Neodiprion lecontei: one gene and its partner. The protein of the gene in region 1 purifies or fractionates together with the protein of each later gene. This does not show direct contact. Links are inferred from orthologs where the notes say so. Each region holds a gene or a part of one and is shown on either strand. Other genes may lie near its edges.

The links. Proteins that work in one complex are often made in the same cells at the same time.
Region 2: the proteins of transcription elongation factor B polypeptide 3 (region 1) and another transcription unit protein purify together in Homo sapiens (affinity purification with mass spectrometry; 3 studies listed by BioGRID and IntAct, with this or other methods). This does not show direct contact. The link is inferred for Neodiprion lecontei from reciprocal best matches to the Homo sapiens genes ELOA and LEO1.

Annotation. Positions count from the first base shown.
Region 1 is NC_060263.1:9,216,600-9,221,442, forward strand, and holds the start of transcription elongation factor B polypeptide 3, read right to left. Parts: upstream 3,020-4,843; 5' UTR 2,529-3,019; coding exon 2,460-2,528; intron 543-2,459; coding exon 238-542; intron 1-237. UniProt on the Homo sapiens protein: SIII, also known as elongin, is a general transcription elongation factor that increases the RNA polymerase II transcription elongation past template-encoded arresting sites.
Region 2 is NC_060265.1:27,024,331-27,030,643, forward strand, and holds another transcription unit protein, read left to right. Parts: upstream 1-1,625; 5' UTR 1,626-1,832; coding exon 1,833-1,878; intron 1,879-1,995; exon of another isoform or gene 1,996-2,065; coding exon of another isoform or gene 2,066-2,090; intron 2,091-2,210; coding exon 2,211-3,248; intron 3,249-3,333; coding exon 3,334-3,722; intron 3,723-3,848; coding exon 3,849-4,439; intron 4,440-4,574; coding exon 4,575-4,779; intron 4,780-4,873; coding exon 4,874-5,052; 3' UTR 5,053-5,811; downstream 5,812-6,313. Other genes in the region: tight junction protein ZO-1, read right to left, coding at 957-1,245. UniProt on the Homo sapiens protein: Component of the PAF1 complex (PAF1C) which has multiple functions during transcription by RNA polymerase II and is implicated in regulation of development and maintenance of embryonic stem cell pluripotency.

The DNA.
Region 1 (4,843 bases):
ATCAACAAGTACAAAAATATTTAAACAGTTACCTACCTGTTTGAAAAATATGCATACTGCAGATAATTTAAGATGAAGGTAGCAGTGAGCGTATGAAATTACTTGAAACTTGATGCAGTTAAAAAATAATAATGATTTTATTGAAACATTCTATGAACATTATTTAAGTATTACGTATCATTGCACGGTAATTAAATTCAACACCTAAATGGTCTTACTATTATATTGCCCATATACCTTGATTCTTTCCTATTATCATCTCTGTCGTCGCTACTATCCTTATCGTTTTTTCTAGAATGTGAGTTGTTGCCATAGTCATCTGGAGGCTCGGATATGTTCGCCTCGTCGTCTGTTGCTCCTTCTCCATCGCTGGATTCCTCATCAGCGACCATTGTCTTCCATTTGGCTACCAAAGCTTTGGCAGCATCACCAACATCCCCAACATATTTTCGCAGGCCATTCACTGTCCTACCAACTCCTGTCTCTTGTAAATGCTGCACGGTAACTGGCAATCTGTACAGCTTCCCAATGCAGTAAAGCATCTGTTAAGAAAATCATGCCATGAAACTTACAAAGACTCCAGAAGCATCTCTTGTAGTTACAGTTTTTCAAATTATTGTAAATGTAGTAAGTGGTTATAGCTGCGTGGCAATACAGTAAAATACTTCTCATGCTAATAAATTATAAGTATACAAAGTTATTATTACTTTGTGTGTAGAGACTATGAAGCATAAAGCAGATTTTCCTGAGAAAAACTAATTATATTTATTTATGATTAGGACACACATTTTTCTTATAATTTTCTTAAATTTTTTAGTTCTTTAGACCAGGTCTACATGTCAATGCCTCTGAATATATATACTGAAAATATGTCTCTTTTGGTACACTAATTATACCAAAAACTGAGGAAGAAAATGACATTACATTTTGCTGAAACTCGATTGGTTTATAGTCATGCCAAACGATTTGATTTTTCAAAAGATCAATTAGAAAATACGGATTACGGGAATCACTCATTCAAATTTTTTTAAGGTCTTCAAGCGATAAATTCTTTGCTGTGAGAAATTCAGAAAGTAGACGTTTCTGTGATTCAGATTCTTTCACAGATATTTCTGAAATAACCGAGATTCCAGCGAAGTGAAAAAAATATTCCAACACGTGTTTTTGCAAAATATTAAGAAGGTTTTTACCCATATTTTTTTAAAATGGAATTTTTCTTAACAAGTACTGAGTATTTGATCTTTGCTATAAGTTAGCACCACTTGTATTTAGAAAAAATGATAATATTTGGTAGAGAAATAGAAACTTATTATCTCCTCTCGATTCTTTTCTTTACAGAATGTAGATAATAATTTTAAAATGAATTATCGCTACACTCACAATTAAACAAAGTTCAAGGTTCGTTGGAGTATTTAAGAATATTATTTTGAAAGAAACTATTAAAATTTGGAATCATAACATTTTATAGGAAAATATTGATGATCCGAGCTTTATTTTCATGTAAAATTTGAAAAAATGAATCATTTTCAGTTTCACCTACCCATAAGATAATAAATGATTGAGACGATAAAGCTGAAAATCAAATAAAATGGACCGAATTAGATCGTACGTAATTGATTTAATTCTGATGTCAAATTTTATTCATTCATGACCAACTACTTATAAGGATATCTGTTTTATCACTTTCAAATTGTAGGATGATTTGAGTCAGATTCATTACCTATATTTGTTCCTATTCAATCATGTTAATACAATTTGACACATAGAATGAAACTAATTTTAAGAACGGGAAGTCAATTCATCCTAATTAAGAGTTGTTTTGCTTTCATTACATCTCGACTTTGTTGAGAATAGTTAGTCTATGAAATATCGTTGACCCACAAATATCTTATTTTCCAAAATCCATTTTGTTATAAATATGCCAATAGTATATTCTTGTGACCAATAATCAAGGTGCATAAAATTATGCCGTTAATTCAATCCTGCAAATGCAATGTCAAGTTTTATCTCAAAACCTGTTTCATTTATAACAAAAATTAATCTTATTGCAACTATATGCTGATTTTAATCCTAATTTCAATAAAATTAATAGAAGTCTCGACTCTCAATCTAATCACATTAGTGGTGAATTACAATTGCAACAGATAAATTGGAGCAAATCTGAGAAGCAGCAACATATATGCCAGATGGTAACAATAAGGATTACATGACATGATGAATACCGCGATACGTCAAATCAATTTGAGTAAAAGAAGACAAAATTCGCTAGCAGCTCCAAAAGTTAATTGCCAAACTGCTGGAACTGCTGCAGCAGTGACATTGACAAATTACATCATTTAGCGATTTCATATGATTTTTAGGTTATGTCGATCAGATTACAAGGGGCGGAAAATTTGTCGGTGAGGAAGTGGCTTGTGTTAGCATGATATAAATGTAATATTTTTGGAGCGGCTACCCACCCTTTCTTCGTTTCCTGAACATTTTTCTATACTTCGTTGATAATGCTGAATTATTTCTGCAACAGACATGTTGCCAATGCCAGCTGTTGGACCACTGAGGTCAAAACTGAAGATGGCCTGGTTCACCGATTTGTGAAATTTCGATGAATTTCTTATGATTCCAGAACACGAGGACAATCTAACATATATTGTGCAAGTTCTATCTGCCTGATTAACTTGGCAAAAATGTTTACGAGTTTTTCATAGCGAGCTAACCATATTCACTATCAAGCCAATTATTTTATCAAGTGAGAGCATTTGTTTTTTCGAATATTATCGATGTTGATAATTGGAGATTTATTTTAATTTTTGAAGGGCGATGTTGTCATATTTATTTCGTTAGATCTTTTTATTTCTTGTGTATTTTTTTATAAACAGTTGAACTGAGTTTGTCGCGAGACCGTAGTTATGGTTCGCGTGAAGGTTAACAACAGTTCGAAGTTTGGTTTCAAGCACGAAGAAATTTTGTTAAAATCTTTTACTCAGTTCTCAACGCCATGAAGGCCACTTCTCAAGTGAACCGTGCGATCTAGAGATTTTTCGGGTCCTACATGGGGAGCTTTCCAGCAGCGACACAGAGCGACATTGTGTCGAACATAGTGCTTTCCAACAATGACACAGAACGACACAGTCGGACACAGCTGCGGAGCAGAGAAAAACCTGTTGGACACTGTGTCGGATTCATTGCTGCCAATTTTTTAGTTGGAGATTTTATTTTCAACGCATGGTATTGTTTGTATTTATTTATTAAATGCAATGATAATCTACATGCGTTCACAAATGTTTTTTTTTCCTGGAGCGCTCAGTGTTTCTAGATTTTTCGTCTAATGCATTAGCGGACTCTAGTGACTGAATTAAGAACCTCAAAGCGTTCCAACAAGCACCAAGGCACATTGTTCGACCGTGTAACACAGTGTCACACTGTGTCTCCTTGCTAGAAAGCTCCCATGGGCTATTCGTATTTCACAGTTTTACGAAATTACAGTCACGGTAGTATATACAGGTCACGAAACTCTGGCGGAGGGGCGGGGGCGGGTCTCTTACTAGGGTGCGTTCCGAAACTAGCTGTCAGGGGTAATAACTCCCTAAGACAGAGACCAAGTTACCCACGAACTAGGCACTGCAAAAGAGATAAAAGATCGATGATAGCACCTCGAGCTAATCTCGGAATGCATGAGTGTCGGAAACCTACCACAAGTACGGAGGGGTATATAAGGGAGTACTATTAGGTGCATTCCAATATTTGCTCCAGTGCTGTCAACAATCTTTCACTTATTTTACGCTACCGAGTTCGTGGGCAGCTTTGCCTCTGTCCCAGGGAGTTTTTAGCGCTGCCAGCTAATTTCGAAACGCGCCCCTATTAGTAGCAGTGTCCTTGACACTACTCGATTGCAGCGCTCTAACTTCAGTGGCCAATATCTGAAACTTGAGCTTCTATTGAGACGCACACCTACCAAGGGAGCCAAGGGAGTTTTCGCACTTGTATATACGACCGTGATTGCAGTGTAACCAGGAAGTACTTATTTTATGAGTGTAGCATCCCATCAGAATGTTTCACCATCTCTCTATTATAATGTGTTAACAAAATAGTATACCTTTAAGCTTGGCACGAGAATCATGAGATGAAAATGAAGTAAGGTATTTTATGTAATTGTAAGATTAATTATCTTGAGAAGCGATCGGTCGTGAGTAAACTTTGTTCACCTGAGTTTTATTCTTCTAATAATATTAATACCACAATTGACTAACACTCAGAATACCCAACTCTAGGTGTAATATTATCTAATAACACCATTTGTGAAATACGGAGAATAGAGCCGTATTATAGGCAACTTTGATTACACTGCATAACCTTGAAGATAAGACCATGCTGCAATTCAACAAGAGCGTTAGTTTAGTTCACAGGATAAAGTATAAAAATGCTAAAGTATATTGCTATTATGGTCTATATATGAATCTAGTTAGATAAGTAACTGCGAACTTTCGAAAACCGCTACACAAATCAACCAATATAAATTATAGAACTGTCATCAAAACGCCGTATTATAGGCAATATATGCTCACAAGCCATTGATTTCTAAATTAATTGGATAGTGGACTGCACGAAGTAGACTGGCTACGCTGCCGAGTGGACCCAATTGATCAGAGCCATTTGCAATTTTTACGGGTCCGTTTCGAAGCGGGCAATTCGAATTTAAAGCTAACCATTTTCACACGTGAATAAGTTAACAAATTGAGGTAAATGGTAAAGCTTAGTGCCTAATACTAGGAAAAAAGTCATTAAATTAATAAAAATGGTGAAGTGCTCATACCGTTGACTGAAGTCAACGCTCATACTGTGGGAA
Region 2 (6,313 bases), on another chromosome or scaffold:
ATTCGTGCTTTGGGAAAACCGTCGTTACACGATTTTGGAATTGCTTGAGATTCGGTAAACTGTAATAAAACAAAACATACTCGTATTTTGAAATCTTAGTTCCTTAAAAGGCATTGCAAAAATAAGAAAACAGTGATTTTTCCACGATGTTTCGTTACGACAACACGGTACGAACTTCAATCTCGCGTTCCTTTTAGATTCCTTTTCCATGCGATCGGCATTTCTACCTCCTCGGATACAAGAGTGTAGTCTTTAAAAAAAAAAAACCCTAACAAAACCACGTAACTAAATTACTGTAAACGAACCGAGTTACGGTAGGTGAAATAAATTTCGTCGAGTGGGTAGAAATATTTGGAATCGAAGACAACGCGGAGTCTTGTCCTCGAGTGAAAGTGATTTGAGTGAGGGAAAACACATGGCTTGTATCAATCGGCGCCTCCGCATATTATAAACTTGTCTAGGAAGTAGGAACTAGTACTTATGCCTTACGAAAATTCATAGTAGACCGTACGACGTTTACCACTGTTATTATTTATACCGTGCAAATTTCCTACCCAGGCATTAATTAAAGGCTCGCGGACGAAGTTCTCTTACATCACGGTTGAACAAATAATTATGCATCTCAATCTTTAATCTCGATCGGTATCCGCCTAAGTAGGTACTCACGTCCAGGTAAACGGGGCCGGTATTTACCGCGATTATTCATAATATTCATCACCACTTCGCGGTGATGAAACAACCCTGAGAGCTGTTGCTCCAATCGCCATTTGATCTCGGTAATTAAGACGCTCTCGAAACAAACTCCCTCAAACGTTGCAATTAATTATCGGCAGATATAAACCTGGGGTGAAATTCATGATATTCACCACTTTGGTTTGTTCGAAAATTTCGAAGAACAACGAAAGAATACGAAGAATCCCCTCTTCACGAATGAGCAAACTCGTAAATGGACTCACCGGTGATGCTGTGTTGATCGACAAGCAGATCCGTCAAGACGTGAGGGCATTCGGCTTCGAGGGCGAAGCAGAATTCCCGAAAGGCATCGAAACCCTTGGCGCTGATAAGGCCTATCAGCAAATCGATGTCCAAGTGCTCACCCCCGCGACGAGCGATCGCCTCGCGATCCGATTCGGCAATCACACCCTGCTTGACGAGCACACCGAGTAAATTTGTGACATTCAGCTCCCTGAGCAGCGCGGATTTGTGTCTCGACAATAATATCCTCACTTCCGCGGAGCCCGCCATGCTCACAGCGCGACGGCGTCAAGCGTCTATCGAGCAACAGGTGTCACGGGCAGTTTAGTTCCCTCTCGCTCTCTCTCTCTTTCAACTCCGGCACGACTCTCGTTCAAAAACTTCTCGCCAAACTCGATTGCGATCCGCCAGAGCGCCGGCTGCTAACCGACACACGCGCACTACAGCTGGTAGAAGGCGAACTAACGAACTTGTACTGAACTACGTACAGAGAATGATAGAACCCGTTGTTGTGTGCGTGCGGAGCACACAAGACGCCATTTTTGAATTGCGCCATCTCTTCGCCGAGTCGCGAACTGCGATTCGAACTGCACCAAAAATCCGCATGTAACGTTGATTAATACGATGCATGACCTGCATTTCATACTCATCTCTGTATGTAGCGTAATTTTTCGAATGGTTTCTCTGGGCGGGTTTGAGGATAATTCAACGAGCCAACACTTACTGATTCGTCTTATGGGATGCCGGTGGAATATAGAGTCGGTATAGCAGAATACTGCAATTTTTCTCCCGTCGTTCGGAGTCCCTTACCGTGCCGCCACAGTCAACTTATCACAACGTATGTGATTTGGTAAAACATGTCACCCGCACGAGATGTACTACGAGGCTCCAGCGGTGATTCCGGTGAGTTTGAGAGTAAATGATAGTTAGTAGCGGAATAAGTGAAGTGTTTACGCATGGTTGATGCTTCCCGATAAATACTTATATCAGATTTCCCTTTTTCTTGGTTACTTTTTCCAGACGATCTATCGTTTCTGAGGTTATATTCACCAATAACATCCGGTCAGATTAGCGTTTTAAACGTACAACTATGCAGGCTTTCACATTTTCAATACGTATGTTACAAAGCGTGAATTTAATTCGAACTCACGATTTAAAAGTTGAAGTTCTATATCAATCAAAAAGTCTTTTTCACTTCGAACACCGGTTAAACACCATGAGTGTTTTTCTTGAAGGTTCCGACTCGGAGAGCGCCTCAGGATCGAGCGCATCTAGCCGTAGCGGGAGTCCAATGTCCCACGGTCCTGTGCCGACTCCCGGCCGGCGAAGTAGCGATCATTCCGAGAATGAGAACGAAGGACCAGCCTCACCAGATTCGATAAGGTCTCCTAGTAGTCCAAAGTCGGACAGGAGTCGGTCTAACGCATCGAATAGATCTCGAAGCCGATCCCCTAGTGCCAATAAATCAATTGCAAGCCCAACTTCACACAGATCAGCTAGCGGATCTAGACATTCCAGTCCAGGATCACCAAGGTCACGTCGCTCTGGAAGTGGATCGCCGCAAACGGTGCGATCTCCAAGCCCTGAATCACAGAGGTCAGGGAGATCCAGGTCAAATTCACTGCAAGGAAGCGTGAGATCAGAAAGTCCAAAGTCTCCTGCCAGCCGTAGGTCTAGGTCAAGATCGCAAAGTCAAAAATCCAAAACTCCAAATTCCCCTCAGTCTAACAGAGCTAGCAGATCGAGATCTGCGAGTCCTGCTTCCCCGAGAAGCAATAAGTCTGGTTCTCCTAAGAGTCGGAGGTCCGGTAGTCAGACTTCACACACAAGCAGAAGATCGGGGTCACCTGGATCGCCAAAAAGCCGCAGGTCTGCCAGTGGGTCGCCTAAAACAAACAGATCTGTTAGTGGATCACCTAAAACCAACAGATCTGGTAGCGGCTCACCTAAAACTGTTAGATCTGCTAGCGGATCTCCAAAAACAAATAGATCTGCTAGCGGATCACCTAAAACAAATAGATCTGTAAGTGGATCACCTAAAACAAATAGATCTGCAAGTGGATCACCTAAGACCAATAGGTCGCGCAGTGCTTCACCAGCCAGCCGCAGGTCTGCGAGTGCCAGTTCTCGTAGAAGCAATAAATCCAGATCTCGTAGTCCAGAAAGTCCAAAAACTGATGGAAGTCCACGTTCGAGAAAATCTAAAAGCAAATCACAGAGTCCTAAGGCTACTGGAAGCGATGCTGAGTCAGAAAAATCACTAAAAATTGCAGGTAGGCGTATCCATTCATCTTTGCAACATCGCACGAATATGTTCTCTGCTTTCAACTCTTTTCTACCACTTTTTTTAACTTGCAGCTGATGCAGATGACGAAGTAGCGAAACGCAAACGACAGACTGACAGTGGTTCTGGATCTGAAAAAGTAATCAAGAAACTAAGAGGACTTATCGATTCAGATTCTGAAGAGGAGCAACCTGTTGGAGAAAAAACAGACGATGTTGAGCCCACAGCTGACGCTCTCTTTGGAGATGCAAGTGATATTAGTACTGACGATGAGAAGGATAAGGAAGAAGAAGGAGACGGAGAAGCAGACACAACAGCAAGAAAAAGCAAAAGCAAAAGTAGGAGCAGGAGTAGAAGTAGGAGCCGGAGTAAAAGTCGAAGTAAAAGTCGGAGTAGGAGTAGAAGTAGAGGGAGATCGGACAGTGGCGGAGAAGGACCTAGTCACAGGGTTTTAATTGAAGATGTAAGTAACTAAATTATTTTCTATTTTAAATTAAATTGATTGAAAGTAGAGAACTTTACTGTTTTCCAGATATTATTTTATGGGAAATTGTAATTTGTCTAAAAAAATATGTATTTAAATTTGAAGGACGAGGAGAAAGAAAAAGAAGACGAACCAGAGCCGCCACCAGAGACGCGAATCGACGTAGAAATACCAAAAATCACAACAGATTTAGGACGCGAAATACATTTTGTAAAATTACCGAACTTTTTGTCCGTTGAAACGCGACCATTCGACCATGAGACTTATGAGGATGAAATTGACGAGGAGGAAACATTGGATGAGGAGGGAAGAGCAAGGCTCAAATTGAAAGTCGAGAATACCATAAGATGGCGAGAGGTTTTCAACGAGGAAGGAAAAGCAGTGAAAGAAAGTAACGCCAGATTTATAAAATGGTCCGATGGAAGTATGTCATTGCATCTGGGCTCAGAAATATTCGACGTCTACAGACAACCGCTTCAAGGCGATCACAATCATCTCTATATTCGACAAGGTACCGGTCTTCAAGGACAAGCGGTATTCAGAACAAAACTCGGATTCCGACCTCACTCAACAGAGTCATTTACACACAGGAAAATGACCATGTCTTTGGCAGATCGTTCGCAAAAGACTACAGGCATCAAAGTATTGTCGCAAGTTGGAATGAATCCCGATCAAAACAGATACGAAATGATAAAGGTTTGTGAATCGATGTTATCTAAATCATTTCTTTGCATTTCAATACCTTTCACAGTTGAAAGAAATTAACGAACATGATTTATAGAGGGTACTCACTCCTAATTTAATTTTCTTCTACTTCCCTTTACCGTTCAGAAAGAAGAAGAAAAATTGCGAATGGCAATGCGAGCACAGAGTAAAAATAAAAAACCAAGCGGAAATAGCAGAAGCGCGGGTCGGGCATCCGGCAGTTACGGAGCGGAAGCTTATCACGATGATGGATCTGATGACGAGGGTGCAATTTCACTGGCAGCCATCAAAAACAAGTACAAAAAGGGCGCCGCTGCACTTGCAGCCAAATGTGAGTTGAAGTTTCAATGTTATGTATTCAGATATTTGGCAAAAATCTCTCTCCACGTGTGTAACGAATTTGAATTAATTTTCAACCGTTCTAGCTGCCTCGAATATTTATTCGTCTGACGAAGAAGGGTCAGACTTCGAGGGTACGCGATCCAAAAAGTATCACAAGGGTAAAGTTCTCAAGGATTCGGATGAAGATTCAAATTCGGGATCTGGGAGTGGATCGGTAAGCGGCGGAGGTGGTGATGATGGCGCCGACGCCGCGAGTGACTAGGAGTAATTCGTAGTTTGACAATATAAGATAAGACAAAAAATGTTGTAAATATGAATCGAGAAAAATGTTGACGAGGAACCGTTCAATGGAACGCAAAATCCAATATCCCGTAGCTGTTTTGTATGGGTCCCCATGAGACAGATCATATTTTATTTCTTATTACGAGTTACAGTCATGATTATATTGACATTATTATTGAAATTAAGATTATTTTCATTATCATTATGAACTAGAAATACATTACTCATTACTTGTAATCACAAAACGCAATTAAATATAGTATCATTAAAAATCATTATACAGTCTATTAATATTGCCTTAATCTTGTTCATTGCAGTTATTTTTTTCTATTTTTTTTTTTTTTACATAGTTACTTCCGCTGGCGAAAAATAGGTAGGTTTAGCCGGTTTAGCATCTCTTTTGCTGTCAAAATTCACGATGATCACGCTGATGTTTATACAGATTTTCAATCTGCGATTTGAATAGGTTGAAAATCTGTGCAGTTTATTACACGCAACATTTTTTTGCCTACAATTTCTTTTATCTTTTATTTACTTTCATCATTCCTACGAATTTAATAGCTAATAATGTATCATGTATTTCGACATTGTGACATAGATACTGTATTATTTGTCATAAAAACCAGAGAAGCACGAATTATGTCATAGTTCTTTACAATTTTAGTCGAGCGACAAATTTGAATTGCGGAATTAGGTATGTTCAAGCTACCGTACTACAAATTTGCAAATGTGCAATATACGCGCGATGCAAAAATATGTATGTGGCGAAAGAAGGGAATTCCCGTTTCATTTAATATCCTAACATAGTCTAAAACTGGTAATGGTTGATTTCAAACTGTCGGGGGACGTCACTCTAATGACTTGAAGAGAACTTAAACTGTAGATTATTTCTACGATCCTTTTGAAATAAAAATAAAATAAATAATCATAATCTTTAAAAACGAAATCTAAATTTATAAATTCTGTTTGAAACCAACAAGGAGACAAGTGTTTTTGCATTATACTTAGTTATTGATAAATATTCGATAAAACTTTCGGAATATATAAGAGAGAAGTTAGCCTCGGGCGATAAATTCAATAAGACTAAAATATGGAAGTTTTATGATCAATGCATAGCACCATAACGAAGCCTGGCAATAATTGGAATAGATTATTCAACTTTTGGCAGAAAGTTAAATAATCCGGCAGTATAAGCTGTTACGCGTTGTTAACGTCAACTTATCCGGAAGACTAACCTGGCT